Linked DNA regions of Pelodiscus sinensis. The protein of the gene in region 3 purifies or fractionates together with the protein of the main gene of each other region. This does not show direct contact. Links are inferred from orthologs where the notes say so. Each region holds a gene or a part of one and is shown on either strand. Other genes may lie near its edges.

The links. The genes of interacting proteins can lie anywhere in the genome.
Region 1: the proteins of LGALS3 (region 3) and ECE1 purify together in Homo sapiens (affinity purification with mass spectrometry; 3 studies listed by BioGRID and IntAct, counting the BioPlex papers as one, with this or other methods). This does not show direct contact. The link is inferred for Pelodiscus sinensis from reciprocal best matches to the Homo sapiens genes LGALS3 and ECE1.
Region 2: the proteins of LGALS3 (region 3) and SLC12A6 purify together in Homo sapiens (affinity purification with mass spectrometry; 3 studies listed by BioGRID and IntAct, counting the BioPlex papers as one, with this or other methods). This does not show direct contact. The link is inferred for Pelodiscus sinensis from reciprocal best matches to the Homo sapiens genes LGALS3 and SLC12A6.

What each region holds. Positions count from the first base shown.
Region 1 is NC_134733.1:3,691,991-3,695,735, forward strand, and holds the start of ECE1 (endothelin-converting enzyme 1), read right to left. Parts: upstream 2,971-3,745; 5' UTR 2,968-2,970; coding exon 2,695-2,967; intron 2,425-2,694; coding exon 2,338-2,424; intron 1-2,337. UniProt on the Homo sapiens protein: Converts big endothelin-1 to endothelin-1.
Region 2 is NC_134740.1:2,568,080-2,571,824, reverse strand, and holds the start of SLC12A6 (solute carrier family 12 member 6), read left to right. Parts: upstream 1-1,537; 5' UTR 1,538-1,695; intron 1,696-2,991; 5' UTR 2,992-3,685; coding exon 3,686-3,745.
Region 3 is NC_134714.1:9,299,797-9,303,541, reverse strand, and holds the start of LGALS3 (galectin-3), read right to left. Parts: upstream 2,921-3,745; 5' UTR 2,791-2,920; intron 1-2,790. UniProt on the Homo sapiens protein: Galactose-specific lectin which binds IgE. May mediate with the alpha-3, beta-1 integrin the stimulation by CSPG4 of endothelial cells migration.

The DNA of each region.
Region 1 (3,745 bases), on a different chromosome or scaffold from region 3:
GGAGACACACACCACGGCTGTCGCACAAAGCTTACAGCCCTGAGGGTCAGGTGCTAGCCCTGGCACCATGGCCCCATTCCAAAGGGGACGTTACCAGCCCGGACCATTAGCTGGCAAAACGCTTCCAATGAACCCCGTCTCCTGCCCATTTGCAGACCGTTGTTTACGACTGAGGCGTTATAGGGACGCACTGGAGCTCAGCCAGCGCGGATGGAGAAATCGACGCTGCCCAGCCTGGCCCTGCTCCGCCTGAATAACAAAGTCACGGAAGGGCTGTGGGGAGAAATCCAAGATGGCGGCGCTTAGCGCTGCAACATGTTCCCCCCTTTTTGCTGTATGTGTCGAATGCCAGTAACTTTCTGGCAGCTGCAACGCCCCCGGGAAGTGTCCGTGGGACACAGAATACTTTGCTTCCTGTTCTGAGTAACACTATGCCAAGCATGAGGACCGTGCGTCCGCTCCAGAGGCTGCCGTGCGTTGCACAAAGACATTTCCACGCTGTGTGGATGGAAAAGCGCGCAGGGAATTTTGCCCTGGATTTGAGCAGGAGCAGGACTGCGTTAGGCAGGCTGCAAAATGCTTTGGGATGAGACATGCTACCGAAGAGCAGAAGAAGTGAGAGGGATCCCAGAGCATGTCTACACCGCAATAAAAGCCCCGCGGCAGAGCCACAGCTGGCCAGGGTCAGCCGAACTGGTCTCCCAGCATCCCCTGCAGCAGCAGCTGATGGCTGATACAGAGCCCTGCACACCGAATCCCCAACAGCATCTGGACCCTCTGGACTCACAAAGCTCCCCCGGCGTCTCCCAGGGCCATGTATGCGCCCCATGCCGCTCAGCTCAGACCGGGAGATTCAGGGCTTGGAGCGACAGTGGCGCGTACCGTGTACTCAGCAAGATCCCAGCGGGCCCAGTCCAGGGAGCACAAGGCAGACACGAGAGGGGTTTGCTTGCAAATCCCAGAGCTGGATGTGTGGCGGCCAATCTCCGCTGATTTCAAGGGAGCAGGAAAGTCTGCGAGGGCTGCATCGCAGTGCAGCTGAAAGGGAGACCGGCCTGGGCTCGCAGACACACACGGAGGCAGGGTCCGCTGGCCTGTGCCAGGCCAAGGCACCAAGGCCTTGCTCTCAGGGCTCTTCAGGCAAAAGGGAACGATCGGATCGTCCGGTCTGACACCTGCAGAGCCCAGGCTGCAGAACTTCACCCGTGACGCCTGAGGCTACATCCCAGCAGGAGCCCACGTCACCAAGGGACGGGAATGGATGGCATCCCTTGGCGAGCTGTGCTGATGGCCAATTGCCTTCACTGTTACAAAACTTCATCGGATTTCAGTCTGAGCTATGCTGGCTGCTGCTTCCAGCCCCTGGATACTATGATGCCTTGTCTGGGCAGTGAGGGAGCCTCCTGCCTCAGAAATCTCCTTCCTGCCTCGGCGCTTGCAGACAGGATTTCCTGTGGGACTAAGCGGGCCGGGGCAGATGGCTTGGAGTCGCGGCGGGTGGGTGGAAGCGCGCTGGAGGGCAAGCAGCACGACAAACACTCAGTTCTCCCCGGAGCAGGCTTTGCTCTGCACCAGGCGCCGGTCGGGTCCCAGTGTGGGCCCTAGGAGAGGGGCCGACTCATGAGGGTTTCTAGTTCTCACCTCGTCACCTCTCTGGCGCAGCCTCTCCCGGCTTTTCCCTGGGGCACCTGGCAGGGCAGCGCCCTTTGGAACACCACAGATACGGTGGAGTCACACCCAGGCTGGAGTCAGCCCCACGCCTTTGTGCTGAAGTCACTATCTCTCAGGCTCCCGGCTGCCGAGAGACTCGGCCCTGGGCCAGCACGGCTGGGCCGGAGGTGCCGGCGTGGGACGGAGAATTCAAGAGACCATTTTCCAGGGCAAATCCCAAAAGCAAAAACTGCCCGTTGAAAGTCAGTCAGACTGTGCCCGGGCTCAGCGTCCCTGCCCGCTGCCTCGGAGCCAAGCTCTCCCTTACCTGGCCAGGTGTCTGCATAGCAAGAGGCACACCCTCAGCCAGGAGTAAACAGGAAGGCCCTTTTCCCTACTTGGGCGGCGGCCCCGGGAGCAGGCCAGGTGCATGCAGTCAGGAGGCAACCCAGAGAGAGGCACCCAGTCCGGGGGGCAGCATGAAGGGTCACAAGGCAGAGGAGGGCACAGGGGCCCATTCTGACCCCCTGCATCGTTCCTTCCCCTCAGCAAGGCGCCGGCGCCCTAGACACGCCCCTTGCTCGCTGTCCGGTGGCAGGACAGCCCTGGGGGAGGGGTGGCTGTGTCTGCAATGACCATACAGTCACATTGCTTGCAAAGCGCAGTGGCACAGACTGGCTCTCCTACCTGGATTCCATTCGGGTAAACGTCTCCCTCCCCGATGGAGTCCACCAGGTCTTCCTCGTCCAGCGTCGCCCGCTTGTAGGTGGACATCTGAAACGTCAAATGGAGAACAGACTCCCTTAGCGTCTCCATGGCACGGTGCAGCTAAAGGCCCCCAGGGATGCTGGCGGGAGGCGGGCCGGCCAGCCAGCCAGCGCTTTGCGAGCAGGGCTGCTCAGCCCTTGCTGGCTGGATCCCCATCTCCTGCGCTCTTTGCTGGTGACTCTGGAGCTGTCTGACCAAGGTCAATCGGGGCAACCTCCCCTTTGGACCTGGATCCGCTCGGCCGACCCTCCCCAGAAAGTCGAAGCGAAGCAACACCTGCAGCAGACTCTGGCTGGGACAGCGGCCCCCAGCTGGTTGTTCGTCCTCCCTTGCGCTGAATCCAAGCGGCTGAGAGATCAAGCGGCTGAACAATTTAATCTGAAGAAACTCCCAGAAGCACAGGAAAGCCGGCCCAGCCCAGCCCCGGCCCTCCGCCCCCATGGCTCCGAGCAGCCCTCTGCTTGGCCTTAAGTAAACTTGCTCTCTCCAGGGGAAGAGGAGGCTTGTGCGGAGCAGGGCTGCCTGCCTCAGCCTGGGAACATGAGACATGCACATTTCAAAACACAGGAGCAGGGAGGGAGGCAGGGACCAGGAAGTAAAGCGAGGTCTGCATTCCGCAGCAGGCGCCGAGGGTGCTCAGAGGCCAGCCCCCCCCCACAGGCAGCCCCACCCACCCCAGCGCCGTGTCCTGCCTGCCCAGCCCCGCCTGTTTCACTTCAACGCCGGGGCTGCGCTCCAGAGCGGGGCAGGCCGGGCGGATGGGATGACCAGAGGAGCAGACGTCTCTCGCAGCCATCCTCCTCCAACAGATCCAAGACACAATGTCCCAACTGGATGGACTGTCCCAGCTTTGAGGGGTCCCCCGCCCAGGCTCGGAGACGAAGGTAGCGCACTTGATTCCACTGAAGCACCCAGGAGGGGTCCTGCCACTTCTGCCCAGCTTCTCCAGCCCTACCGCCACCTCCTCCCTTCCCAGGAAGGCTGGCAACTGTTGTCGACCAAAGACAGCAGCTACCCAAGCAGCAGCCAAGACGCCCCCGCCTCTACCCCAAGCCTCCCAGTAAGGTGAGCCTGGGCTCCAGCTCTCGAGGTCAAAGCCTGGTGCCCTGGCCTAGGCTCCCTCACTCCGACAAGAGGCCATGCAAAACTCGAGTCCGGAGTGGGGCCTTCAGGATTGTTCAGGCAAAGGTGCCTTCTGCCTGCTTTGCACTCCTCCAGTTTGGGCCGACCTGCAGGTCAGCACAGCCCCCGGCACAGCTCAGAGCAGCCACCAGCCTGCTCCAACTTCACTCTGCTCCCCAGGCCTCTCTCTGACCCCAAGAAACAG
Region 2 (3,745 bases), on a different chromosome or scaffold from region 3:
GGGATGGAGGGGCAATCGGGAGGCTGGTGGTGGGGTCGGGGCCTCGCTGACCCCGGCTAGGGCCCTGCCGAGAGAGGATTGCAGGCGGCATCATCCCCTGGCACGCCACAGGCAGGGGCTCAGCTCGGGGGTCAGCCTGTGGAGAAGGAAAATGGGGTGTCCCCTCCACCCTGCACATTGGGGGGGTGTTAAACATCTTGCAGGCTGGGGGCAGGAAGCCAGGGTGACCCCCGCTTCCCTTCCCCGCCACACACTCTGCACCCCCCGAGTGGCACCCTTGCACCTTCCTGAGTGGGCGTCACATTTACCCTTCTAATGCCCCAGCCCTGCATTTCCCCTCCCGTGTGCCCCAAATGCCCCATCGCGTTTGCACCTTCCCTATGCACTCTGACCCCCAATGCCCCTCCCCCACAAATGCCCCTCCCCCATGCACCCTGACCCCCAAAGCCCCTCCCCCACAAATGCCCCTCCCTCATGCACCTTTACCCCAATGCCCCTCCCCCACAATTGCCCCTCCCCATGCACCCTGAACCCCAATGCCCCTCCCCCACAAATGCCCCTCCCCCATGCACCCTGAACCCCAATGCCCCTCCCCCACAAATGCCCCTCCCCCATGCACCCTGAACCCCAATGCCTCTCCCCAACAATTGCCCCTCCCCCATGCACCCTGACCCCCAATGCCCCTCCCCCACAAATGCCCCTCCCCCATGCACCCTGACCCCAATGCCCCTCCCCCACAAATGCCCCTCCCCCATGCACCCCGATCCCCAATACCCCTCCCCCATGCACCCTGACCCCCAATGCCCCTCCCCCACAAATGCCCCTCCCCCATGCACCCTGACTCCCAATGCCCCTCCCTCACAAATGCCCCTCCCCCATGCATCCTGACCCCCAATGCCCCTCCCCCACAAATGCCCCTCCCCCATGCACCCTGACCCCCAATGCCCCTCCCTCACAAATGCCCCTCCCCCATGCATCCTGACCCCCAATGCCCCTCCCCCACAAATGCCCCTCCCCCATGCATCCTGACCCCCAATGCCCCTCCCCCACAAATGCCCCTCCCCCATGCATCCTGACCCCCAATGCCCCTCCCCCACAAATGCCCCTCCCCCATGCACCCTGACCCCCAATGCCCCTCCCCCACAAATGCCCCTCCCCCATGCATCCTGACCCCCAATGCCCCTCCCCCACAAATGCCCCTCCCCCATGCATCCTGACCCCCAATGCCCCTCCCCCACAAATGCCCCTCCCCCATGCACCCTGACCCCCAATGCCCCTCCCCCACAAATGCCCCTCCCCCATGCATCCTGACCCCCAATGCCCCTCCCCCACAAATGCCCTTTCCCCTCCCCCATGCACATTGACCCCCCCCATCATTGCCCCTCCCCCACATTTTCCTTTGCCCCCCGCAGCCCGCCCCTCCCGTCTGAAAAACTACGACTCCCAGCATGCCGTGTCCTAGCCCCAGCGTGACCTCTGACCCCGCTCTTCTATCCTCCCCCCCCACCGTCAACAACGAGCTCGAGCTCAACAACAGCCCTAGCGGCTCGGCCGTGCGCATGCGCCGGGAAGCGCGCCGGGAGGGGGGGACCCAGCTCGCGCATTCCCCTTTCCCTGGAGCCGGCAGCAGCTGCAGCGCCGGCGCGCGGGGACCCCGCTGGAACGCTGCGGAGCAGCCGCCGGCGCGCGCCCGAGGTAAGCCGCTAACGGTCCCCAACGGCCGCCCGCGGCTTTTCCCGCGCTTTCCGAGGGGAGGGGGCGCCGCGGCGCTGGGCAGGGGGGCTGCTGCGCACGCGCAGTGCGACCCACCTCCCCCGCGCAAGTGGGCAGCATAGGGCACCTCCCCCGCCTCACACCCACGGGGGGGGGGTCTTGCACATCCCTTGCACCATTGTCCCACCCACTGGGGGGGTTGCACGCCCCTTGCACCATTGGCCTGGTGACAGACTCTCGTGCTCCCTGTAGCACCATTATGGGGCTCTCGCACGCTCCGTGCACCATCAGTTTCGCATACGTGGTTTGCAGGCACCATTGCTGTCTTGCACGCTCCTTGCACCAGTGAGCAGCAAGGGGCAGCTCTTGCACGCCCCTTGCACAGTCACTTCCTCATAGCAGAGTCCTATGCCACCCCCCTCGTGGGACTCTCGCACAGCCTTCGCACCAAATTACCTGTGCACGGGGGTCTTGCGTGCCCTTTTCACCGTTGCTTTCCCCGTATCTGGTTTGGGCATCCCTTTGCACTGTTGCTCCCTTGTAAGGCTTTCTCAGGCCTCCACAGCACGGGTGTTCACAGGGGCTTTATGTGCCTTACACCACTGATTTCCACCGCCCCCCTCCCGTTGCACACTCTGGCACTAGTTCACAGAGCCTTACCTGCTGATGGGGCTCTCACGCCCCTTCCAGTAGTGCACGACAGACCCACATCCCTTGCACTATTTTCCTCACAGAGCTCCTGCAGCATACCCTTGTCCTGGTGATTTAGTCACAAGAGTCGTACACATTCCTTGCACTATCATTCCTTCTCTTGAGGGGTTGCTCCTCACTAGGATTTTGTGTACCCATCACAGTTTTCCACCATTATCCCTCTCCTGCTGTGGCTTTGCACTCTCTTGTACCCTAGGCACATTGGTGATATGCATGCACTTTCACAATTCTGTCCCCTCTATGGGGACCATATGGAGCCTTCACGTGTTCTCATGTGGGATTTCCTCATGCTCGCACGACTGCGTGCTTTCATGTGAGTTTCACTAGGACCCTAAAGGGAGTTTGTGTATCCTGGCCCTGGGATCCTCTGGAGCAGCCATATTCCCTTGCTCTGCTGAGCATGCTTGCACTACTGACATTTAATAGTTACCTTCTCACCCCAGGACCCTGATGAAAAATTGCACATTTTTGGAATACTCGTGCATCATAATTGTTCCTGGACCTCACGGATTAGTTGCATATGTCTTTGCACCAGAATTTTGTTCAATAATCCTCTCTTTGCACTAGGATATTCCACCTCCTTGTACCAGAGCTGTTTGGAATAGCTGTCACCCTGCACCAGGATCCTTGCACTGTTGCACCAGGTTCACGTGGGGTGTTCGCAACCGGGGCTCTTTGGGATACTTGCTGTCCTTGCACGTTACGTCATTCACCAGTGGGTAATTCTCCATCTCGCACCTGGATCTCTTGGTCTCTCCTTCCTCCAGTGTTGCACTAGGACCGTGTGACATTCTATTGCCGCCTTGCACTGTCACATTTCCGTAACCCACAGACCCCCTTCCTCGAACCGCCTTCCCAGCAGGATACAAACTGTTGCTTGTCTCGGGACACGTGAAACATTCTCCTCCGGGCCCACGGATCCTGCCGTGCACTTCTCCGAGGATTGCCTGCATGCAAACAGCCTCCAGCAAACAAATCATTAACTAAACCAGACAGCCGTGAAATATTTGCCCGGTAAACCATGGGTCAGCTCCGGTGCTCCACCTTTAGCCACACCTGCGGAAAACTCACCTGATACCGACCAGGTGTCTGGGCACCACCTTGCACCAGACCGCGAAGGCGCCACGCTCGATATGAATCCACTCAGTGACGGCACCTGCTGTTACCCTCCTAAATTATCGTTTCCCTTTTTATTTGTTGTTGTTTCTGGATGATTAGAGTTTAAAGCTACCAGGAAGTCGTTCGATTGCTCCGCGCCCGCATGCACCAACGCCACCAGTCCCCGGCCAAAATGGCTTCCGTCCGGTTCATGGTGACCCCG
Region 3 (3,745 bases):
GGCTGGCTGCCAGCGGGGGGGAAGGGGGGGAGCAGGGAAGGGGGCCTGCCTCCCCCAGCCTCAGCTGTACTGACTGCCCCTGGCATCCCTAACTTGTCTCTGCATGCTTAGGGCCAGATCTTTCGTCGGCACAAGTCCGCGCAGCTCCGCTGGAGCGGAGGCAGCGACGCTGATTTACAGCAGCTTTAAGATTTTAAAGCCTGCAGAGTTGTGCAATACTCACTTGCACAACCCCACTGCCTGCCTGCCTCCATTTTTAGGCAAGAGAATACAAGACAAAACTCTCGGTTACTAGAGCGGCCAGGCAGTAGCGCCGTGGTTTTCCACCGGCAGGTCACACCCCAGAACTGGGCGGTGAAGTGTCGGGCGCTGGGTCTCGCTGCTGCAGGGGGATCCGGTGAGCAGTAGGGGCGCTAAGACTGTGCTGTGCCCCAGAAGCTCTCTGGCTCCTATGTTGGGGAGAGGGGAGGAAGAGAGCTCTGCACTGCCCCCATCCTGAGCGTTAACCCTGCACTCCCAGTAGCTGGGAACCTGGTCTGCGGTGCCAGGAGAGGCAGGAAGCTGCCTTAGCGCCCCCTGCTGCACTGCTGACTCGGAGCTGTTGGAGGTCAGCCCCTCCTGCCCCAGCCCTGACATCCCCAAAGCTAAGTTCTCCCCCTCAGCCCCGTCCCAGAGCCCGCACTCTCTCTGTTGGGTCGCGGACAACAAGAATTTTCTTCAACTGGGTCACGAGATAAACGGTTTGAAACCCCCTGCTGTGGTGAACACAGGAATGCCAGGAAGAGGGGTGATCAGAGTTCCTGGCGTTCAGGGTTTATCACTGTCTAAGCTGCTACGTAGCATAAGGTCCCTGCAATGTGGGCACGTTAATACTGATTTAAGAACCTTGTAAATTCTCAGCTCGCGTGCTTACGTCTACCCTCTTTGGAGCTACACGAGCAGAGGTCTTCAGCGTTAGGACATACACATTCGTTTCTGGTCTGGGTCTTAGGACCTGAATTCTCAGCTTGGATGGGGCGGGGGAGAGGGGGAAAGAGGAGAGAGCACTCTGCTGGCAGGGATCCCAGCCAGACGAGAGGATTGCCGTGTGGAAAGAGGGAGCCAGGTATGGAAAAAGATGAGAACCACAGCCCTAGGTTGCACAACCAAACAGGAATATAAATGTTCAGTCCTGCTCCTCCAGAGAGGAACAGGAATGCCGCGGTTGCATTCAGCAGAAACCAGCTCAGACATTCAACAGAGGAAGCCTCAGAGGAAACAACACCTCCCCCTACACCCGATTAAGGAACTCAATGGATTAGCCATTATAATATTATTGAATCTCATCAGCTGAAGCTAGGGAGGTAAAATCCTGTTCAATTAGTTAACCAGTTAAACGTTATGTTGAATTGGTTGACTGAACGGGGAGGGAGGCGGGGCTGTTCCACAGCCTGCTGGGCTGGAGTGGCTCCTCTACCTGTCACAGCAGCTGCTGGCTCCCAGCCAGTTGGCAGCCTCGCACAGGATATGTGTGTGAGAGGGCTGCCGGTTTCCAGCTATCAGCAGGCTCACACTGGGCAGAAGCAGGGCAGGGGGATCTGGACTGGGTGAGACTTACCAGGTAACCGGTCACTCATTCACATCTCTAGCTGAAACAGGCTTGGGCAACCTCAGGGCTAGGAATACACAGCGCCCAGGGAGGGGCACAGACACACAGCTATTAGACCAGGGATACGCAACATCGGGCCCACCGTGCAGTTTGGCTTTACGCAGGGCTCAACACACAGCCCGTGAGTGGGAGCCAAAACAAAAAAGGAGTCAATATAATGGTTTTCCGTTGATATGTGTTTTAGTAGTTAAATTTCTGGACTGCCATTGCTCATTAAAAGGGCTCTCGTATGGATGGAAATCAGGTAACTATTGCATTTTATTAATATCAGCAGAACTGACTTCAATGGGGCCTGCGTGTTGGGTAATCTTGCCTTACTCTTTGTATTCATGCCTGTCGGCGTGAAAGAAGATAGTTGCATATATATTTGCATGTATATGCAACCACATCTTAAGTTGCGGCCCTCTTCATGTGCTGTGAATATCATTATGGTCCCCCCCCCCCCCCCCCCCGGCTTCCAAAGTTGAGTAGCCCCGAACTAGACACACACACAGGCCTAAGGATAATACAGATGCTTCCAGTTCCAAGCAAGGCAAAGCATTCTCGTCCGTGGGCGCTTTACCCCCCTCCCCGGCCCTGCTCTCCTGCTGGCAAAGCGAAAGGCTCCTGGGGGCGAGGAGTCAAACAGCCTTCACGGGCAGCGACTTCCAGCTGCACAAGTGTGTGGACGCAGCCCTGTCGCTAAAACCTTCCACATATAGATACGCGCACGCACTTAGTCGAGAGGCAACTTCCATGGACCAAGCCCGGCCTGACGCTCACCCTGTCACAGGCAAGTCACTTACTGCCTCCGTGCCTCAGTTTCCCCATAGGAGACACGGGAGGGGAGGACGGTCACAGAGCAGGGGGGAGGTCCCTCCCCTCCCCTCCCCTCCCCAGCTGCAACAAGCGACATCCCGCGAGGGGCGGAGGGGACGCACCCCAGCTGGGACCTCCCCGGGAGGCAGCAGCCGGGCTGGGCGGCGAGGCATCGCGGAGCCTGCCTGGGCGAGCAGCGACGCCAGACGGCGCAGCCAAGCGGGCGCCCGACCTGCCGCTGCGCCCTGGCCGGGGGGAAGCGGGGTGCGGACGGGGGGGGCTCCTGCCTCCAATCCCCCCCCCCCGAGACCCGACCCCCCAAGAACGCGGCTCGCTCCGCTCACCGTCGGGGTGTCCGCACCGTCCGCGCTGCGCTCCCCTGCTGGACACACGGCGGCCGGGCGCTCCCTGCGCTGCAGACTCAGCCTCCCCGGCGAGGGGTGGGGCGGCAGGCGGGGCCCGGGGCTGCAGCCAATGAGTCCCGAAGGGCGCGGCGGCTGCCTCCCCGGGGGGGGAGATCAACAAGTTCAGTCCCCACGGGGGGGCCCCACTGGGGCGCGTGCCGTGCCCGCCCCCCCGGATGAGGCGCACTAGTGGCCGGGGCCTGCGCCCCTTGGTAAAAGGGCTTTTCCTGCCCCTGGAAACAGGCGTGAACAAGGGTTTTACCCGAGCCACTGCCCATCAGGTGCCCTCGGGGTTATGGGCTCTGTCTGGGGCCTTCTCCCCACGTGGCTTGGGGCAGCCTGAGCCCCAGGGCTGTGCTCAGCCTGCTGCCAGCTCCCACAAGTGCTCCCAGCCTGGGGCAAGCCCAGCGCCTGTTCTCTGGGGGAAAGGTAAAGCTGTGGGCCCAGAGAACCCACCAGCCCGCTGCAAAAACAGGCGAGGCCGGGCCTGAATTAGGCCTGTCAGAATCAGGGCCGGCTTCAGGGAAAATGGTGCCCTTGTGGGCCAATTTCCTCTGGCACTCGGGCTCCCCATCCTGTGCCCCTCTCCCCACTAACCCCTGCATTGTGCCCTCTTTGCCTCAATCTCTGCACAGTGCCCGCTTCATCCCAGCCCTTCCAGCATGTCCTACCACACTGCCCCTGCCCAGTTCTCTGCACCCCCTCTGCCCTGGGCACCGTCCCAGTTCGTCTAGCCCTAAAGGCCAGCCCTAGTCAGAATAATGTGAAAACCAACACCTTCTAGGCCTCTCTTCCCGGGTCAAAGAACCCTAAGAGGGCACCAACCCCAGTCCCCCCACCCATCCCCGGTCACCTTCCACGTCATCCTTTGGCAGTGCCCAAGCAGTGTTGCTGA